Astyanax mexicanus: one gene and its partners. The protein of the gene in region 1 interacts with the protein of each later gene in a pairwise test. Links are inferred from orthologs where the notes say so. Each region holds a gene or a part of one and is shown on either strand. Other genes may lie near its edges.

Region 1 (7,540 bases):
AAACTGTACTCATAAATAGTTACACATAACAAATATCCTTCACAGTAAACAGCTACATTAATACAATATAATATATAATAAAATAATTTAAACAAATAAAATATATCACACCCCTAATTCACATTATGACAAAAAGTGAAAAAACACTATTATAGGATATTTAATTATTATAACTTTTAATGGTTACCTAACATCTCTCATTTTTTATATTTTCAGTCCAAAAATTTGAAACAAAAAATTTAAAACAAATCGAATTTATTAACCAACAAGACCAATTCAAACAATTTTGACTAAATCCAACACATTTAAAAAGAATAGTAACTGTGAGGGAGAACATACAGCCCATCACTCTTTCACTGTGTTTCATATAAGCAGATGAATGTCACAATAATTATGATATTTACCTTAAAATCTTAAAATATATGGACATGACCTCAGTCACTATTCTGACCTCATTATTGTAGGAAGATTTCATCGTTTCAGTGTTAAAATTTCAGTAAACTGTACACAGTAGTGATCATTTACTGACCTGAATATTTTTATGTCTTCCCCAGTTCTAAGAAAAAGACTGGCAGCCATCTTCAGTGCCTGTATTCTGTCCAAACGCTGCTCCAGTGACTGTCATCATGAGAACAAAAAGGTAGGCAGGTGTTTCACCAGCCTGACTGAAAATCTATTTTTATTGTGGTTTGAAAAGTTAAAATGAATCACTTTTTGCTTTTTTTGTTTTTAATTAATAGAAAATGATTAGAAATTTAGCCCATATTTTACAGTAGCTCTGTGTATGTGTCTGACTGTATTATGATTTTAATTTGTCTGCAGGTTGTGTGGGTGTATGCCACAAACCTGTTCTTCAGTGCATTGTCCATTTTTCACCTGACATATCTGGGCTCTCTCTTTGACATGGATGCCGAGGATGAGAAGGTTCAGGTTATTGTTTTTTTGTATTATTGTTAATCACTGTAATGAGAAGGCGTTACACAATACAATCCAGTGTTGCTTATTTAAATGGGACAATTTATGACCTCTAAGTAGGGATGTTTCAAACCGGTTATTTTGCCCCATGATCTGATCTGAGTTTTTACATGCTTAGTATTGGCAGATATCTCACTGTTCTGTGTTTGTGTGTATATGACAGCTCCCTGCTCCATTAAAACACTACAGTTTTTGGTATTTTAATATATAAATTTATTTTTATAGTTTCAGATGTTATGTGTTCGTGCTCTACTGTATTATAGTTCCACACTGTGCTCTCTAACTAAACTCTTACTTACCTCCTGAAAACTTTCCACAGTGCTGCAGGTTGGCAGTCACGCCAGGTAATGGTGCCTTGAGGACACCAGATGGCACATTGATGGCGCTGTCATTAAGACAAAGACTCGGATAGATAAACAGCTCTAGAAAAAAAATAAGAGACCACTTAAAAATGATGAGTTTCTTTGATTTTACCAAATTGAAAACCTCTGAGAAAAGCCACCAAATTGAAAGCCATCAAACCAAGCTGAACTGCTTGAATTTTTGCACAATTCTTGCAGTTTTCCAAAAGTATGTAAGACTGGTGGAGGAGAACATGCCAAGATGCATAAAAACTGTGAATAAAAAACTCTAGAACTTTATGAATATGAACTTGTTTCTTTGCATTATGTGAGGTCTGAAAGCTTTGCATCTTTTTTGTTATTTCAGTCATTTCTCATTTTCTGCAAATAAATGTTCTAAATTACAATAGTTTTGTTTGAATTTTGGAATAAATGTTGTCTGTTGTTTATAGAATAAAACAACAATATTCATTTTACACAAACATATACCTATACGTAGCAAAAATCTGAGAATCTGATTCAGAAACTGAAGTGCTCTCATTTTTTTCATAGCTGTAGATTAAAATAACATACACCTAATCAATTAAAAACATGCCTGCATCAGACCTGATCCCAATTCACTGGATCAGATCAAAATATTCATAGATATCATATTGTGTAAGTAATTTATCTTTTGTGTATCTACTCTTTGTCTTCCAGGGTTACATGGCAAGTCACACCATTCAAAAATGGTCAGAACTGAACTGGGCCAGCCACTGGGTGATGTTGGGATGTTGGGTCTTCTATTGGCTCATTTGAAGCTGGATGTGAAACTATGGATCAAGCTGAGGACCTTTTACACTCCTTGGATTGAGATCTTATCGGACTCAAAGCAAAAGCATATCTTCAGCATATCTACAGACTGTTTATACAGTGATCAAGCATTGCAGTTCCATCATTCCTGCTTTCACACCTTATACTGACACTGTTCTACAGATCTGTAATCGTAACTACATTCCTCCATGTACTGTATGTGTTAGACCTGAGAAAATCTAGGTGAACATGTTGTTCTAGTTTTTGTTACTTTTTTATACATTACCAAAATAACAATAAAGATATTTATTGTTTTCTAAGAAAATGTGATACAGTTTGTCTGTTCATCTCTTGTGTATTAGTGGCATCTCTCTTTCCATTATATATATAATAAATAAATAATCATTTATTCAAAAGCCATGATAAAAAATAGACATCCCCAGACCAACACATTATTGTTATTAAATAAATAACAATACACAAATGTGTATTCATTATTTTATACATATAGCATGCATATAATCAAAGTGTACATTAACTGTACACTACATTTTCAAGTCAAGTCAAGTAGTTTTATTGTCAATACTGCATATGTACAGGACATACAGAGAATTGAAATGACGTTACTCTCCTTCCCAATTTTACAGCAAGTACAGATAATAGATATAATAAAGGAGGATGGGAGACACTATGTGTACAATACAGCAGGGACACAAATAGACATACATGAGACAAAAACAAGGTGCAGTGGTGTGGGGGAGGAATAGATATATAAATATAAGTAAATAAGTAAAAATAGATATATAATTATAATATAAAAGAGTGGGAGACACTATATGTTCAATACAGCAAGACACAATAAACATACGTAAGACAATAGTGCAATATTGATGGTGATTGAGATGGAATGACAGTATAAATAGTAAATAACAGTGGTGCAAATAGGGTATATGGTATATAGCTTAAATTGTGATGCATTTTGGGTGTTTGATAGTGAACTATATAGGGAATAAAACATACTGTTGATATTTTAACCAACACTACACAATGGCTGATATATTGCACTATTTCTGTAATAAGGACCAATTTAGAATGCAGATTTGTCACTGCGGTTTTTGTTTGGAGATTTTATTCTAATAAAAGAAATAAACAGTCTTTTAATATTGGATAGACAGACAGCCCATGTCTCTTCTCTCATCTCAATCATGTTAGACAGGTACAAAAAGAAGAGAAAAAAGAGGAGATTTATGAGGGATAGAAATAGAAAAAAAGATGTCCCAGCCCAATTGGGACCTCAAGATGGTTTGTTATGCGCCTGAAATAAAGAGATGTTGAAGTTTAAGAATATACCAGTTCTGCTCTGCTAAATTTCAAATTCAAAATTTGAATAGCGAAAAGTGATGCATGAGATTCATTTAGATCGATTCATTTATCACAGTGCATTTTAGAAGAGTTTTAAGAATATATAAATTATGAATTAATTTATTTACTGCTCTGCTGAAGTTCATTTTCAAAAATTTAATAGCAAAAAGTGATGCATAAGATTAATTTAGATATATTAATTAATCACAGTGCATTTAAGACGAATTTTAAGAATATGCCAGTTATGGGGCTCCGAGTGGTCCAGCGGGCTAAGTGCTGCCACTATGATCAGGAGATTGCTGGTTTGAATCCTGCTCATGTAGCTTGCCATCAGCTTCCAGAGCCCCGAGAGAGCACAATTGGCCTTGCTCTCTCTGGGTAGGTAGATGGCGCTCTCTCCCCTCATCACTCCAAAGGGTGATGTCGATCAGCACAAGGCGTCTGTGAGCTGATGTATTACAACTGAGTGGCTGTGCTTTCGTCTGAGTGCGCTGTGATGCTACTCAGCAATGCTGCATGAAAAAGACGCAGTGGCTGACTGCACAAGTGTCTTCACCCTCCTGGTGTTGGGGCATCACTAGTGATAGGGGGAGTCCTAATGAGTGGGTCCTAATTTCCGTAAAGAAAATGGTAAAAAAAAAAAAAAAAAAAAAAAATTGAAATGAAATAAACAAAATATGTCAGTTATGAATTTGTTGATTTATTGCTCTGCTAATTACCTTTCATAGCAAAAAGTGATACGTGCGATTAATTTAAATTAGATTAATTAATCGCAGAGCATGTGCTTAATTAGCTAATCTTTTCTTTAATCGTTTGATTAAAAGCACTAGTAACAAGTCTATTCATTTATTTATATATTTTTAAACGATGTGAGTGTAAGTATTTGAGTGTGAGTGTAAATTTAAAAGAAAGTATAAAAATAAAATGTAAAAAATAAAACCACGTTTTTTTTTCAATCAAATCTCGTTCTCTCCTCTCCTGCGCGCTTGTGAAATATCGCGATATCTCCCCTTCTTCTCACTACGTAATGTGCCGTGCTGCTTATGGCGGCGCTGGTGACAGTGCTGAAAGCTGTTGGGGTGAGTTTTTCCTCTTTTGTTTGGGTGATACGCAGTTTTAAGACCGCAGGGTGAAGGTAGAGGTGTGTGTGCGCTTTGTGTTTTAGGCTGGGCGGCTGTAGTGTCGTGTTTACGGTGTAAATGTTGTTATTTCCAGGGACGGGAAGGCCTGGGTGGGGGCCGCAGACCTCACCGCTCGTTTCGGCGCTGCTAGGCTGTTAGCTAGCGGGCTAAATAGCTAAATATACCGGTTAATAAATCACAGCGGAGGCGGAGTCTGCTTTAATTAGATCAACGTTTGCCTTATACTTAAAGAACTGGCAGAGAACTGTGTTTTAGACTGGCTTTTTTGTTCTAAAAGAAGTCGCATTATTGTCCTGGAAGTAGAGGTGTGAGGTGCAGACCCAGTAGATAAAAATCCACTCCAGGATTTTGTTCCCACAGTTCTGCTGCAGATCACACAGTAGGGCCGTATAGGCAGTTGAAGCAAAATCCTGGAGTGGATTTTTACTTTCTTAACCTGGATTACCCACTTCTACCTCTAACTTCACCGTTTTGTGTTTCAACGTGGCTCTGTGCTGGTTAGCTAAGTGGCTGGCTAGCTAACACACGTTAGCACCACTAGTTTCAAAGCCTTTTCTTTGTTGTCCGACATTTTTAAGCTATATTTTAACCCTCGGCGACACACATACAGATATACAAACACACTCACATGTACATATACACACACATACATATATAAACGCACAAACACGCAGACATGCAACGAACAGCCAACATAGATCCCTAAAAACAGGCGTGTTTATTTTTATATGGCAGCTAAACAAGTTTTAGCCTCAAATGTTTTTGGCCACAGCAGTGGAAAATCAGCTTTTACTAGTAAAATGTCTAAATATAGATCAAATAGATAATAGCTAAAGATAAAGCTATAGATAGATAGCTTATAGATTCTATAAGCTACTGACAACATTTCTCCCAATTAAGAAAAAAAGAATGTAATTTAGAGTATTTATTTGTGGAATAAAAAAAGAAAAAGATGCAGAGCATTCAGACCTCAAATAATGCAAAGAAAACAAGTTCATATTCATAAAGTTAAGATTTCAGAAATCAATATTTGGTGGATTATCCCTTGTTTTTAATCACAGTTTTCATGCATCTTGGTATGTTCTTACACACTGCTTTTGGGTAACTTTATGCCACTCCTGGTGCAAAAATTCAAGCAGTTCAGCTTGGTACAGATTGTTTTTAATTTGGTAAAATCAAAGACTCGTAATTTTAAGTGGCCTTTTTTCCGGAGTCGACTAAGTGTGTTTTGTAACAGTACCACATTACACATAGTGGACAATGGGCTAACTCACACTATTTACACTCAATTTGGTCTGTCTCTAAATGTTACATAATTACTAACTAAAAATCAGTACCTTTTACGTTTAAACAACATCTGAACATTTAAATGGCTTTTAAATCTCATGTTCAGCTGTTTTTGTTTTCAGCAATGGAGGAAATTAAATGTCCTTTGACAAATTGCTTGACTACCAAAATAATAATTAATTCCAGCCTATATATATCTATAATGAACCTACAGTTTTTACCATTGAAAACTTCAGTAACAAATGTCTTCAATTGGAAAATGAAATTCCAGAAATCTGGAATCTGAAATTTCACTGAATAACATCAGCAAAGCCCCACTTTTAAGGTATAGCTATTGTGAGCTGTGCATTAGAAGTACTATAAAAGAATTTAAAACAATAAAACTAAAAGAGAAGTAAAATGAGTAAATGATGTGCCAAGACAAATCTGAGCGAGGATTTCAGTGACTCTGGAACAACATTAATAAATACGAGCTGACTGCAACAAACTAAAATGCTCTTTTTGCTAAATCGTAATTTCACCTGGATGTTACAGATATTTTAATAAGATATGCATATATTTTATGCACTGCACAAGTGTTCTAGGCAACTGAAACTAGGCTTTAAATCCCAAATGTTTCATATCATAAGAGCTGCTTAAATTTGAAACTTGTGCTTAGCACTGCAGATTTTACTGTTTTTAGAAATATCTGGATGTGTGGATGGGCCTGAACAAATATCCTGTCCTTGTATCATTTGTAAAAACTGCACTACTTTTACAGATCTGATTCAGAACACTGGAGTAACAAAAAAATTGGACTCCTAAGTCAGAACTTGGGAATGATTAACATTAAACTCCGGACATGAACATTAGTTGTTAGGACATTTGGCAGGCTGATGTTGGTTTAATTCGTAACTAATAACTGTAATTAACTACAAAAGAATTGGCCTTTAGCTTCTTAGCCAGACACGCATTGTTTTGTCTATTTGTGCTGTTTTGAAAAGGAAGTCAAGGCCTAAAGTCAGTGAAACTGGAAATTTATAGAAGGATTTATTAATAGCAGCACAATTTCAGTTATTCACTAGTGAAGACCCGAGTGCTGTTCAGGGAAGGGCAGTGCAGGAACGCGCTGCAGCTGTAGTCAGAGGAGCGCGTGCTTGTTTTTCCTCGAGCCTTGACTGTTTGTGGCCCGGGCGCACTGTAACTGCACAGCGCGTGCTTTTCAGCTGTGTGTGACGCAGCCAATAACAGGGGCTTCGGAGTAGTCGGTCACAGCTGAAGAGCATGCGCTGTGCAGTTAATGTGTTGAAACGTGAGTAGCTTGATCACCACAGTGAAATTTTGGGTTTCTTAAATTCTGTCAACTGATCTCTTTACTCCAGGTAATAACTCGCAATGTTGATTTTTAAATAGTTTGCCTTTGGGTGAGTAGGCACACTGTTGGAATAAGGTTGTGGATAACACCATCCCCATTACAAACAGACAAGTTCTCAATTCCCTGATCAGGCAGCATAGCAGGGTTCACCAAAAATGCCATCTGTACACACTAACCTTTTCTGCCTCAAAGCCAGCCTGTTTAAACATAGAAAGCCCACAAGTAAAGTTTTTTTATGTATTTTAAATGTTTGTGAAATGTTACTACTTGTAAGTTTGCACTAAAGA
Region 2 (7,985 bases), on another chromosome or scaffold:
TATGACATTGCAAAGACTGTGTTAAAATGTCTTTATTTTAAAGTGTTTCTAACTGTTGTCCACCTCCTGTTGCCGCAGAGGCGATATTTTTGCATGTATGAATATTCATGAGCAAGAGCCAAAACCGTTTCTCCGCGCCCACTCCTCCACTGGATTAAAGCAGCACTATACTTTACCTTTTTCACAAAAAAGAGTTCACATGGCATTCATTCATACTAAAGAACACAACTAGACATTTTAAAATGAACGAAAAAAACAATGGAATGAAACCTTTAAGCAAACAAAAACTACAAAAGAGAACTAAATAACTGAAATAATTATGTGCCTGTTTTACAGCCTGAATTCTGTAAAACATTATCATTGCAATATTTGACATAATTTTACATTGCGTAAGCATAAACACATGAAAATGTTCCCCTTCTAAATGTAGCCCAGGGCCATAACTAGACCCTAAATCAACAGCTTGCAGCACAAGCAAAGGGGACAACATGTAATAACAGATTATATAATATAATATATATACATTTATTTTAAAAATATATAAATGCAAAAATCTTCTGATCTGTACTTCAGTACAGAGAGATGCTGAAGTAAATCGACAGGTAAACACGCAGCACTGATGAACCCTTACCTCTTGTTCAGACTCTGTGCCTGACAGCTTCTTGTCTTTACCCTTGGCTCCTGCTCCTCCGTTCTTGCGCCCTGAGCCAGGCTTGCGACCTCTGCAAAACACAGTTATTTCTAGGGGTGGGGGAAATTTTTGATTCTTTAGACGCATCTCGATTCGAACAGTGACGTTCTGAATCAGTTCACAAGTGACAAAAAATAATTTTATAGACGTCAGCTAAAACTGAACGTAATTATGACGAGATGCAAAAGATTAAACTCAGAAGTTAAGCGTCCGGACAGTATTACAGCTGTAACTCGTGATGTGTGAACTTCCATTGCCACAGAATCTTACGTCACTACAACAGCGCGTTTTATCCGCTATTAGCGGCAGTTACAGTTGCATTTGCTTCAAAAACGAGCAGTGACCAAAACCACACGGGTAAAAGCTGTGATTTTGGTACAGCATATTTTGGGTACTTCAGTTACATGTATTGCTCAGTGTTCATAATGTTATTTAGAATTTAGCTTCACTGAAATTTATTAATTTATTACAAGCATACTGCTACAGGTGCATCCTGTGTGATGCTGAGATATGTGCTCTCAAATGCTGGCCCTGCACTTGCCATATTGCTTCCATTTAAAATATAAAAAAAAAACAATGCAGACCATTGCAAAGACTTTTTTTTATTTATTTGGTGCCATATATAGACTATGAAAAAGTGAATGGAAAAAGCACTGTCAGCTATGGCATCTCAAAGAGGTAATAAAAATTGTTGTACGTCATGAAGATGTAAAACTTGAGATTATATTATCCATTGGTTACATATCAAATTAGAGGATTTTAAGCCAAAATATGCAATAATTAAGCCGATCCTAAAAAGTTACAAAAAATAAAGAACAAAAAAATATATGCAAAAAATATATATCTCCTCTACAGAAAAAAAAGAAAGAAAAACATTTTTTCCCCCCTCTTCTATTTTGTGTAATTGTGCCTACATTTTTTATTTAAGTTCCAAATATAAACATAATGTGCTCCTCACAGTTTGGATCTATAGTGAAAATAGCCTACTTCAGACTACAGTTCTAAACTGTGTGTCATTACCTGCGTGGGATCTTCTCTGCTCCCTCAGCATGATTCTCATCCCCCTCTCCTTGCATGTCCGGCACTGCAGCCACCAGATCCTTCAGGAAGTCAAACTGCTGCTCCAGTTCGATGCACTGTTTTCTACACGCAAAAAACAAACCCACTTAAAAGCCAGTCAGCATGTTAACACTACTCACAGTTTGATCAGTAAGTTAAAATTACTCACAAATGCGATGTTGTCATAGTTTTGGCGTTCCGTGACTGGGTAACATGACAGGCTTTCGTCAGAAGAGACTCCAGAAACAGCTCAAGTGCCCGCGCTCGAACAGGGGTTAAAGAACCAACCAAACCAAGAACATCAACTACAGAGTAGAGAGGGTTATTAATCAACGCCAAAATAACAAAATATCTTGAAAGTGATTATTCACTTAAAAAAACCCTATTAAATCAACTAATCTCAGGTTATGCGATGCAGTGGAATGCATGGATCATGTGATCCAAGTGTTACCTCAAGGGACAGCTTGGGAACACCCACATATTGTAAGGTGTTATCTAGTGAGTGAGTGTGTGGGCATTTAAAATTCCTTAATCCACAGAGTCAAGTATTAACCAGGAATACAACATAGAAGGCATTACCACCTACAGTGGATAGTTCAGTGTATGGTTATGATTATGGCTGACAGCATCTGATTAGAAATGTGCATGTCCATCTTTGCACTGGACATCTAACTCTACAGAAATATTTAGGGCAGTAAAAGAATTAGCAATATTTAAAGGGCAATTTGCATAAGAACCTCAAACACTCTCATACTGACACATTTCTAAAACACTGCTGTACAACAGAAGACAGAAATATGTGAACTTTCAAAGGATACAGATAATAACGGGAACGGCAGCAGCGACTTTTCCTATTTCTTCATCTGTCTGCATAATCTTCTTAATTCTTGCCTGAAAGTAATACAAACACACATAGTGAGCGTGAAAAAGCTAGACAGATATTTTGGGAACAAAAAATGTAATTTACATAACAGTAGTTACTGAATAGCCACATACAGTACAGCTGGGTTCAGTGTATACTGTACAGAATACACTACAGGACACAAAAACATACTTAACACTGAAAGCTAAAATGTAACAGTGAATATTAAATACTAGTTATGCATTTCTGTCATTTTTTTTAGTGTGGAAACATTTACAGTGTGGAAATACTTCAAATTGGTGCTTTACATTCTATCAGACTTAGATATTTTCCTGTGCTTGAAACACAAAACCTTTACCAGCCACATCTTGTTGTATTTTAAATAAAATAAAGAACACAAACGTGCTCCTTTATTATACTACTTTATTGTAGTACTTATACTTATACTACTAATCTACCACCTGAGTCTCTGAGAGACATGCAACTATTGTACTTAAATGCATACTGTCCAAAAAAGATTTTCTACTAGATTAAGAGCATTCATAAAAGAATGTGATTACATCAATAAATTAGAGATGTACAATCTTATCTACACAGGGCTGCTGTGGTTGCAGATTTCCTTTTTTATGGAAAAAAAACAGCAGCAGCACACTTGGTTCCTCTTGTTTAATCAGTTGGTCAGTCTTCAAACAACTAATCACATGTGCTTCTGCTTCACTGGAATAAAAAACTGAAGGTACACCACTCTTTGTGGAGAAGAATGAGGCCTCTGTAGTAAATGGAGCAGAAAAATGCCACAAATACAAATGGTATGTAAATATTGTTGATATCTAAAGTTGGTTAGCAGCATAAGAGCAGCTGAGTAGCCTGCTGATATGTACAGAGCCAGAGAGCTGTTAATATTATGTTAAATGTATTCATTTTAAAATCACTTTAAATTTTATACCAAAAATCTTTTCTGATTTTTTGTTAAATAATTTTTATTTTATGTAAAATATCTCTGTTGAATTTTCACTAAATATTTGTTCGCTTTATGCCAAATATCTTTATTAATTTTATGGTAAACATCTGATAATTTTATAACAAATATTTGTTATATCTTTATGTTATATATATTGGTGTCACTTATCTATATTTTACATCAAATATCTCTCACCTAAACATCAAATATCTGCTCATTTTATTTTAAATTTCTCTATTAATTTTTCATTAAACATTTTTGGTTGTGTCAAATATCTCTGTTCATTTTACCATAAACATCTGTTGAGTTTGTGGAATAACTCTGTTAATTTTACTATAAACATCTGTTGATGTTATGTCAAATATCATTTGTTACATAAAACGTTACCTTAAACGCCTGTTGGTTTTATGCGAAATATCTCTGTTAACTTTACCATAAACATCTGTTGATTTTATGTCAAAAAACAATTGCTGGTTTTAAGTCAAATGTCTGTCAATTTTATGCCAAATATCTGTTAGTGTCAGTTAAATGTATCTGTGTTTATAGGTAAGTAAAACATCTGTGTTCTGTCTGTACAGTAGCTGGTTAGCTGAGTTTTCACTTTCCAACACAAACTGAGGGAACTAAGTTATGTTAGCTAGCTTATGTTAGCTACTTAGCAAAAACCTTTACTAGCGTTAGCTAGCTGGCTGGCTACACACAAAGATTATCCAGGATCATGGCTACATTAGTATTGACCAATTTGAACCACAGATTTTAGAATACTGCATAAAATAAAGTGTAAATTGTTTAATTATAAAGCTACACGGCCTCTGAATAATGCTGAGGACTGCAGCTGTTAGCTAGGCTAAGCTAGGCTAAGCTAAGCTAAGCTAACCGAACTCTCAGTTCTCCAGCGAGCAGCTGTACAGTAGGATTAGCCGGACCCGCTGAACCGCTCTACATTGAGTCTATGGGCTTCTCCAGCTCTCGGTATTACACTGGGTATTGTTTTAAACTCAGAATTAAACTTAGACTCGAGTCTAGACCAGGTAACAGAGTTAAACCCAGCCACAGGTTTTACTCCTCTCATTCAGAGTGGGCGTTAAGATAACAGGAGCTCCGCTAAGTTAGGCTAGGCTAAACTGTGCTAAGCTAACGTTAGCATGTACATAGAGAATCATTGAGCTTAGCATTAGCATTATCAGGTGAATGGGAGTAATCTCACCGGGGGGAATCTGGCGTTATATTTCTTCTTTTTGCTCGGCATGCTGTGTTTTACAGGACTCCTCCCGCTTTAGCCCGTGTGCTCTGTGTCTGTACTCCTTTGTCCCGCTGCCGGATCGGCTCCAGGCCGGGTTTAGGCTCGGTTTTAATGATAAACTCAGTGTTTTTGGTTCAGCAGCAGCGGCGGCTCCGTCTCCACCTCCTCCTCCTTCAGTCCAGCCGGGTCTCGCAGGGTCGCAGCTTGATCTCCGGCTGCGCTCCAATTTACAAGTGTGTTCAAATCAAGCCCATAACAAACTCAGCATGCTATAAAACAAAATAAAATAAAAATAATAGTGAAATTTCGCCTTAACTTTAAACTTAAACCTGTTTTTATTCGGTGTTTAAATATGGAAATACATTCCTGTCAGGTAAATGCCCTTTCTGGCCTTCTCAGTTTCTGGCAGCAGGATGCAAATCTTGATTCAGTAGGCCCTATCTCAATCTTAATCTCTAAAAAAACAGTTTGTCTTTATATTTCCACATCATATATTTCAAATTTATCATTATTATTTAAGTTAAAGGACTGCCGTTATGCCAAATATTAGCAAGTATTTTTAAATAATGACCCGGGAACAGGTTATTATTGAACTACTGAAATAGAATTACAAATAGCAATAGCATAGCAAAAAAAAGAAAGAAAAAATGATTTTTTCAAAGGATTGTCATTTTTTTGTGAAATCTAATTTCCTCCACTTAAAAAAAAACTTATTATTAAGTAAATTGCAATCTTATGATTATGAGGTACTAAGTCGTTATTGTGAGATCCTAAATCAACAAAAGCATTCATATAAACGACTTAGTATCTCAAAATAATGATGTATCTCAAAATAACAACTTAATATATAATATAATAAAATAATGACATAATATCTTAAAACAACAAGATCGTACATGAACATGACTTAGTATTTCAATGGTTTCTGCACATGTAGGTAAAGTTAAAAGGTGAATTGGGTAGTTTCTGGACCCACCACAACCCTGACCATCAGGGAAAAGAAGACGAATGAGTAAATAGATTTTATACTAATACTATACTAATTATTATTATTATTATTATTATTATTATTATTATTATTATTATTATTATTATTATTATTATTATTATTATTACCTAATAGTATTATATCCAACCTCCTCTTCACATTTGAAATTTGAAACTCTTCTTAGTTTCAAATTACCTTCAGAACGCATGTGACTGTTTTAACTCTTTATAATTTCTATGTTTTTATTAATTCATTTGTTATTGGTCTTAATTTAATTTTATTATTTTCTATATCATTATTATTTACTTTTTATCTATTTGTTAATTTTTTTTAAATCTCTTACATTGAGAAGATTTCCTCTTGATTTACTGCGAACATTTGGATATTTTCTTTACAGCTTTAATCTTGTAATGTTAAGGCTTTAGCCTCGTAATATTGCGACTTTATTCTCGAACGAACTGTTTTTTTAAAGAGTGGCCCTAAAACGCCGTCGTTTAGATATTTTCCAGTTGTTAAGCGACCTGTGGGGGAAGTAGGGAAACGAGCACACTAGCTAGGTTAGCTAAAGAGTGTTCGAAGTAGACGTGGCCTTTCTAGTGTGCGAGGGGAGACAGCACGGGCGCACAAATTGGGACAGAGCCAGACAATTCAAAAACAACGCATTAGCTCGGCTAGCTGTGGGTTTAGCGGCTGTTTTAGTGGTTTTAAAGGCGTGTTTGATGCCGCAGGTGAGCGTGTGCGGGCTGTATTGCAGTGTGAGCGCTGTATAATGCGCAATAGTGAGGAATTCTGTGAGTTTTCTGCTTTATTTCTCCTCTCTGGTGGTCGGGGCTAGTTGCAGCTGCTGCTGTGCTGTGTTTGGGGTAAAGTTTGCTGATTAAAGTCAGTGAGGAGGCTAAAGAGTGAGCTGTGTGTGGGGAGAGTCTTCTGTAGAGCTGTGGGGTGAAGGAATGAGTTTGTAACCTGTCTGTGCAGTGTTCATTAAGCTGTGTGTGGGTCTGCAGATCTGCAAATATAACTGCTGGTGTTGGGTCCAATGTTGCTACCCTGTCAAAACGTGCTCCCAGTGTATAATGTGTATTCATAGGTAAATCTGATTGACTAGTAGTTTATTCAGATTGGTTGAAAACATGATTTAATGTAAGTGAAGTTTGGTAGGTTAGGTAGAAGATATGTGGATATAGGCTAACTAGCCTGTATAGTACACAGTATAGCAATTATAAGGGTATATACGGTGTATTTATGTATTTGAATAGCCATTAAAACTCGTGTGAGACTCAAACAACCAATAACAGTAAGTCTAGACTGTAAAACACACTGTATGAGCAGATTTATCTCGAAAAACACATGAAAACGTAAAAAAGGCACAAAAAATTTTCAGCGCATGCGCAGTAGTGATTGTCACATGTCACATGTGGCATTTTTCTGAGTCGGTTCTTTTGGCTCGGCTCACTAAAAAAGGGCCGGCTCTTTCAACTCCCAACTGGCTCCGCAGATTTATTATTTGCTTAAATTAATCTATTACCGATTTATGTGTAAAATAAATCACTTTGACAGTACCTATCAAAAGTTTGGACACACCGCTTCTCATTCTATGTGTTTTCTTTCTTTTTATAATTTATTTTTACGTAGTAAATTTAATATCAAATACATTAAAGCTATACAGGAACAAATGCAGGATTATTTGGTAAGCAAACCAAAATATGTTTTACACTTTAGATTATGAAGTGGAAGTGGCACATTTACCTTTGATTACATATTTGAACACTGGTATTTTCTCTGTGTTTTCATGAGAGAGTCACCTGGTTCACATAGAATATTTTCATTAAAAAGATACTTTATTTCAGCAATTCAGTTCAAAATGTGAAACTCATATTATATAGACTTATTACACACCGAGTGATCTATTTTAAGCGTTTTAAAATTTACTGATGGTCAGTGATGGGTTGGAGAGTCATGTCTGCTGGTGTTGGTCTACTCTGTTATATCAATTCCAAAGTCAGTGCAGCGTTTTTTTTTTTTCCGGAAAATTTTAAAGCACTTCATCCTTCCCTCTGCTGACAACTTTTATAGAGAAGCTAGAACTGTGAAACTGCCTTATAATCATACAGGTTAACTCATAACTTTTTTTTTTGGTCTCTCTAACAGAAAAAGAGTGCCTTACACTAGCATATAGGACGT
Region 3 (7,516 bases), on another chromosome or scaffold:
CGTCATCAAGAGAGGGGCGGAGCTACAGCAGCCAGGGGGCGGTCCACAACAGGGGCACTGCTAGACAGTTATCTATCTATCTATCTATCTATCTATCTATCTATCTATCTATCTATCTATCTATCTATCTATCTATCATTATTAAATTAGTATTAAAGCTCAAGGCTGGTTAAATGAAAAAGTTCATACAGTTCTGACTTATTAAGGCGTGGGAATGAGATCTTTATGCATGGGAACAAGAACATTAAGGTGTATGAACAAGATAATTAAAGTGTGGGAACAAGATAATTAGGTTGTAGCCAGAAAATTATAAAGCTTGCTTTTCTGTAAATTAATGACCATAAAGAAACAGAAAAACATCTAATTTAAGAATAATCTTTTGTAAAAAATCTATCTATCTTATTTTGATACTGTACCTCTAAACTAATTTCTGGAAAGATTGTGTAGATTTATTATTGATAATGTTGACGCTGAGTTTGGTCTCTGTTTAGTTAATGTGTTGTTTGGCTTTGATTATCATAAAAGTCATACATTTACAATTGTTAATTTTCTCATTCAAAACCTGAAATTATTGTTTTTGAAAAATAAAAACTATAAAACCAAACAATACATAAGTTAGTCACCTAATATTCTCTCTTAAAACTAAAAAGCTGTTAAAACAGTGGATATTTATACTTTTATTTTTTTCTCCCTTTTTTATTTTTCTTCTATACCAATATTTGGCCTCCAGTTATTATTATCTTTCTAACAAATTGTGTTAAATTGTGCTTTAGGATTTTAGCTACGTTTGTAAATACGAGGTTTTAAACTAAAGTGGCCGTAGCTCTTGGTAACAGCGTGGAGCTCGAGGAACCCGGAAGTTTGCAGTTAAGGCTCTTATCAAATTTATGGCGAGACTTCCTACTTTTATCTCCTCCATTATAATAAAATAATACAGCTGACCGCTAGAGGGAGCGCGCGAGCGGGTCCAAAATGAATGGGGGTGAATGAAGCTAAACGGCTAAAAACACAAATTAAATAAAGTATACAGCTGATAGTCCAGGTTATTCCTTTAATTTCGGAAATTATAATAAGATATGTCGCTAATAAAAGCAAAGAATCCTTAGCTGTGCGTTTCTGTTTTTCACAGTAAAAGGGTTTAATTAGTATAAACATTAGCGTTGCTGCTACTGTGCGCTGATTGGTTGGTGGGCTGATGCTGATGCAGTAATAACATTATAATAATTTAAATGTCCCTTTTTACACTGCAATACTAACAGTAATTCTGCGTAAAAAAAAAACACAGATAAATCAAATGTATCTGACATTTTAGATCATTGACATTGGAGTTTCAGTGCATTAGAGATCTAAAAATGAAGTAAGTAAGTAACCTCTTTAGTTGCCTAAAGAACAATCAATATTACTGTACCATTTTTTATTATGACCCACTAGACTTTTCATATTATGGAAGCCCATTTCCGCCACCTGAAGAAAAAAAAACGTCCTCAACTAAGTCATAATTATGAGATAGAAAAGTCATAATTATGGGATAGTAAGTCATAATTATGAGATAGTAAGTCATAATTATGAGATAGTAAGTCATAATTATGAGATACTAAGTCATAATTATGAGATAGTAAGTCATAATTATGAGATAAAAAAGTCATAATTATGAGATAGTAAGTCATAATTATGAGATAGAAAAGTCATAATTATGGGATAGTAAGTCATAATTATGAGATAGAAAAGTCATAATTATGGGATAGTAAGTCATAATTATGAGATAGTAAGTCATAATTATGAGATAGTAAGTCATAATTATGAGATAAAAAAGTCATAATTATGAGATAGTAAGTAATATTTATGAGATAAAAAGTCATCTCATAATTATGACTTAGTATCTCATAATTATGACTTACTATCTCATAATTAAGACTTAGTATCTCATAATTATGACTTAGTTGAGGACGTTTTTTTTTTCTTCAGGTGGCGGAAATGGGCTTCCATATTTCAACTAAACTAGTTGAAAGAGAATAAATTGCCTGTTCTGTGCATTTCTGATCAGTAGGGAGATCATTCCACAGTCTGGGAGCATAAACTGCAAAAAAATAACTTTCATTGATTAAATGTTCTTGCAGCAAGAGCACATTTTTAAAGGTTTATAACTGGATTTTTAAAGTGTTAAAATCATGTATGTAGCATTAAAACGTACTCTGTGTTGAAGAAATAAGAATACTTTAAGTATAAAAATGAATGAATATTTAATTTTTAACTCTGAACCTCTCTCAGGTGGTCTAAATAAAAAAAAAACCTAAATAAAAATTAATGTTAAATAAAAATTCTCGATATCTGTTTATACGCTCTGTGGCTTTATCACCGCCTCCGCAGATGACACACAGCGCAGCCGCAGAGCTGGTTTATACAGAGACTGACCACTTCCTATAGCCACCGTTTTTTACCACCGAGCTACGGCAAAAAATTTGAAAAAAAAAAAAAAATTTAAATAGTACATTTTAGAAAGTATAATTATGTATTTAGCCATAAAAGCAAGGAAACGTAGCTGTTTATTTTAGTTTTTACAGTAAATGGGACTTACATGGTAAAGGCCCTGCATTACTGTTACTATGAGCTGATTGGTTGGTGAGCTAATGCTGATGCAGTGCTGATAGCATGGCACATTTAATAAACATAGATTTTTTTTATCATTACATCATTTAATGTTGACAATGAAAAAACAACAACCTTGAAACAACAAAAAAGACTTTGACTAAAAATCAATGTCAAGCTATAAGAATATGAAGTGAAATTGAAGTTGACCGTTGATTGGATGTCTGTTTGCTATCACTATCCTGGAAAATTGTAAATGCAATCTACAAGATGCATTGCTTTTCCACACTAACATTCAAAATACGCCAAATGAAATGCAAAATCACTTTTACACTATTATATTTCACTATTTATTAAAAAACAATACACACAAATTTACAAATTGTGTCAGAATTGCACATAAACTACCTTAAAATGCTTTAAATCAGCTTAGAACTGAACTGTATGCACTCATTCACTTTACCAGCCTTAAGCTATTTTACCTTTATGTTTACACTACTGTTATATGGTTTCTGTTTATACTTGTACTGTCATTCCCTCTCCCGTCCCCCCACCCCATCACTATTGCACTATTGTCTTGTGTCTTTTTTCCATGTATGTCTATACCTGTGTCATTGTTGTATCGTTTATTTTGTGTCTCTCGTTCTTTTATATTTATGACCTTATTTTCTGTACTTATCTGTGCTGTAGCTTTTGGGAAGGAGAGTAACATAATTTCAATGTTGTGTATGTCCTGTATATATGGAGTATTGACAATAAAACTACTTGACTTTTTTCTTGTAATATTAAGACTTTAATCTCGTATTAGTACAATTTTATACTTTTAATATTAGAACTTTAATCTTCCAGCCCAGCAGCCCAGCAGCGTCTCTACTTCCTCCGGAAGCTGAGAAAGGCCCGTCTCCCTCCACCCATCCTCACACTCTTCTATAGAGGGACCATTGAGAGCATCCTGAGCAGCTGCATCACTGCCTGGTTTGGGACCTGCACCGTCTCTGACCGCAAGACCCTCCAGCGTATTGTGAGGACAGCTGAGAGGATCATCGGCGTCTCTCTCCCCTCAATCACGGACATTTACACCACCCGCAGCATCCGCAAAGCAACCAGCATTGTGAATGACCCCACCCATCCCTCACACGAACTGTTCTCCCTCCTGCCTTCGGGAAGAAGGTACCGCAGCATCCGGTCCAGCACGACCAGATTCTGCAACAGCTTCTACCCCCAAGCCATCAGACTCCTTAACTGCAGAGACTGAACTGATGTTTTTTCTGTACATGCACACACACTCTTACCCCACTTACCCCAGAAAATGGAAAGCACTAAAAACCCTACTACCTCACTGGACTCTATTGCACACTGCATAATTTGCACACTGTCTTGTTATTTATTATTCTTTGTCTGTATGGTGTTGTATTGTCTGTCTGCACTTTTGTACTGTTGCACTATTGTTCTGTCTACACTGTGTTTATGTGCACCATGGTCCCTGGAGGAACGTTGTTTCGTTTCACTGTGTACTCTGTATATAGCTGAAATGACAATAAAAACCACTTTGACTTTGACTTTGACTTTGAATCTTGTAATATTGCAACTTTATTTTTGATTAACTGTTATTTTAATTTTTTTAAGAGTGTCCCTAAAATGCCGTCGTATGATTTTGTTCTGTGTTAGAAGTAATATAATAAGAATATTTTTAGTCTAAAAATTAATAAACATTAATAAACTGCTTAAATTATTTTTCTCAATCGCTCCATTTGAACCCATTCATTTTGTCCTCACTCTGGAGCGCCCTCTAGTGGTCGCTCCCGCTCACAGCACACAGTGAAGTGGGTGATCTCGGTGTCTGTGGGTGGAGGATCTGTGGCGCAGCAGCAGCAGCGGCGGCAGTAACAGTAACAGCGCGGGGAGGAGGAGGAGGATTAGTGAAGGATCTCCTCATAATAAAACACACGGGCTGAAAACATGGGAAACACCGACTCCAAACTCAAATTCAGGAAAGCGGTCATTCAGCTCACCACTAAAACCCAGGTCAGCGCTTTATTCCCTCATTTATACTGGATTTACTGGTTTTACTGGGCGAGCAGCGCCTGAACGCTTCCAGATGGAGGCAGATCGCTATCCGCAACATCAAGGATGAGGGTCTGAGACACTAAACCTCAGTTAAAAACACAGATACCTGCTGATAAAAGCGAGATCTGCTGTTTATCTCACTGTTTAACGCGAAATATCTGTTTTTCCTGCTTTTATTATGATATATTTATTTATCAGGCCAATAAAAACAGCCCTGCACCTGCTGCACCTGAACAGGAGGGTAGATATAAATAAATATGGATATAACGTTAGAGAGCTGATTCTGGGTCTATCTGTGTTTTATTTTGTTTATTTGTGGTTTTTAAAAAACAAATTAGGGAAAAAAGCCGAATATCAGATTTCTAACCTTATTCTCTTAAATAAACAGAGACCTGAGCTCCGCCGCCGCTGTGTTTCAACATATTGTGAATGATTTTCATGATTTTCAGCATAAAAGCGCAGATTAAATGGTGATTTATAGAGAGATGTTTCTGTAATCAGTGCGAATTATGATATTAAAGAGGTTAATCAGTGGATTTAAAGCTGGAAATGTTTTATTAGACCGGGATCCAGTGAAACGCAGACAGGATCTGTTTGTAGTTTGTAGAGATGACGCGAGATTTCAGCTTCACACGAGAACAGCGTTTCAGCTTCTTCTGGTTGCTACATATACACTATATATATATATATATATATATATATATATATATATATATATATATATATATATATATACACACTATATACACACACACTATATATACAAACAATATATACACTATATACATACACTGTATACACTAATGTATATATATATATATATATATATATATATATATATATATATATATATATATATATATATATATATATATAATATATATACACTATACACTACACACACTATATACATACACGAATATATATATATATATATATACATATATACAACATATATATATATACACTACATATATACACAGTATATACATACACACTATAAATTCACTATATGCACACTACACTACACACACTATACGCTACACACACAATATACATACACACTATATATACACACTATATGCTACACACACACTATATTTACACACTAAATATATATATATATATACACACACACACACACAAACACTACACTACACACAGTTACAGATATCTATAATTAATTTTGTAATAGTAATCATTATTCATTCCTTTCCTATTGGAGGACAAGCGACAAATTGCCTTGTGATTTTTTTTTTACTTTATGCAAATTAATTATTACGTGGGGAAACGACATTCTACACTGATTGGCTGGACGGATTTTTTGGGCCAATAGCATATACAGCGGCAAAATCCCAGTCATGCAGCTTAGTATGGAGTGAATTTTGTGCCAAAAGTTTTACACAAAAAAATAAAATCCGCAATCAAAATGTTAGGAATCAAAAGCAAAAATTATATGTTACAAATTCAAAAGAGAAAAAATATATAGCAAATATATATTTTTAAATATACTTGGTTATTTTATTATCCTTTGCAGTTATTTGAAAATTATTTCAGTTTGGTCTTTGCTTTTATTTTTGTGTTTTTGTGAATTTTCTGTGGATTTTTTTGGATTTTTCTGTTAAAGACTTTTGCTTCTGGAATCCCTCTTTTGCTTCTGCTTCAGATTTTTGCTTCTGAGTTTTGGCACAGTTTTCACGGGTGGGCGGGGCTTAGAAGAAGGGGTTCCCCTTGAATCTCCATTGGTCAGCTGGTTCTGGACTGGCGGGTTCCCTGAACCCTCGTCTGAGACTGACCACGCCCCCAAACACCCCGCCAGCTTCAAGCGTCCTTCCAAACACGGAGTGAACAGCAGCTTCCAGCAAACAGCAACAGCAGCAGATACTTTTACAATTAAATATTATACAAACGTTATGTTCACAAGTCACATTAGCGAGATTGCTAAATATTCATGCTGAAAGTAGGTAACTACCTAACTCACTAGCTCAATGACTAGGTAACTCACTAGCTCACTGACTAGGTAACTCACTAGTTCACTGACTAGCTAACTCACTAGTTCTCTGACTAGCTAACTCACTAGTTCTCTGACTATGTAACTCACTAGTTCACTGACTAGCTAACTCACTAGTTCTCTGACTATGTAACTCACTAGTTCACTGACTAGGTAGCATTCTAATTCATTAGCTCATTGAGTAGGTAAGTAGCTAACTCAGTAGCACACTTACTATGTAACTCACTGGTTCACTGACTAGGTAACTCACTTGCTCACTGAGTAAGTAACCTGCTAACTCATTAGCTCACTGAGTAGGTAACTCACTAGTTCACTGACTAAGTAATTCACTAGCTCACTGAGTAGGTAACTAACTCACTAGTTCACTGGCTAGATAACTCACTAGTTTGCTGGCTAGGTTGCTCACTAGCTCACTGAGTAGGTAACTAGCTAACTCACTAGCTCATTGACTAAGATAACTGACTAGTTCACTGATTAGGTAATTAGCTAACTCACTAGCTCATTGACTAGGTAACTATCATAATTTGCGCGTGAATATTTAGCACATCTTGCTAATGTGAGCTTTTAAATGGAGTGAAACAGAGAATAATATAACATAATATAACATTAAACATAACGTTTGTATAATATTTAATTGTAAAAGTATCTGTTGCTGTTTGCTGGAAGCTGCTGTTCACTCCGTGTTTGGAAGGACGCTTGAAGCTGGCGGGTGTTTGGGGGCGTGGTCAGTCTCAGACGAGGGTTCAGGGAACCCGCCAGTCCAGAACCAGCTGACCAATGGAGATTCAAGGGGAACCCCTTCTTCTAAGCCCCGCCCACCCGTGAAAACTGTGCCAAAACTCAGAAGCAAAA

Evidence for each region.
Region 2: the proteins of csde1 (region 1) and c25h11orf68 interact in a two-hybrid assay, tested with the Homo sapiens proteins (2 studies listed by BioGRID and IntAct). The link is inferred for Astyanax mexicanus from reciprocal best matches to the Homo sapiens genes CSDE1 and C11orf68.
Region 3: the proteins of csde1 (region 1) and hid1a interact in binary tests that used the Homo sapiens proteins (3 or more experiments, as listed by UniProt). The two-hybrid records come from large-scale screens. The link is inferred for Astyanax mexicanus from reciprocal best matches to the Homo sapiens genes CSDE1 and HID1.

What each region holds. Positions count from the first base shown.
Region 1 is NC_064419.1:39,190,518-39,198,057, reverse strand, and holds the start of csde1 (cold shock domain-containing protein E1), read left to right. Parts: upstream 1-4,469; 5' UTR 4,470-4,549; intron 4,550-7,540. Other genes in the region: porcnl (porcupine O-acyltransferase like), read left to right, coding at 555-640, 823-930, 2,016-2,114. UniProt on the Homo sapiens protein: RNA-binding protein involved in translationally coupled mRNA turnover.
Region 2 is NC_064432.1:18,621,070-18,629,054, forward strand, and holds the start of c25h11orf68 (UPF0696 protein C11orf68 homolog), read left to right. Parts: upstream 1-4,962; 5' UTR 4,963-5,049; intron 5,050-6,413; exon of another isoform or gene 6,414-6,595; intron 6,596-6,610; exon of another isoform or gene 6,611-7,491; intron 7,492-7,952; 5' UTR 7,953-7,985. Other genes in the region: drap1 (dr1-associated corepressor), read right to left, coding at 632-722, 1,712-1,834, 1,920-2,013, 2,569-2,641, 4,781-4,822.
Region 3 is NC_064426.1:43,208,227-43,215,742, reverse strand, and holds the start of hid1a (protein HID1), read left to right. Parts: upstream 1-4,456; 5' UTR 4,457-4,545; coding exon 4,546-4,611; intron 4,612-7,516. UniProt on the Homo sapiens protein: May play an important role in the development of cancers in a broad range of tissues.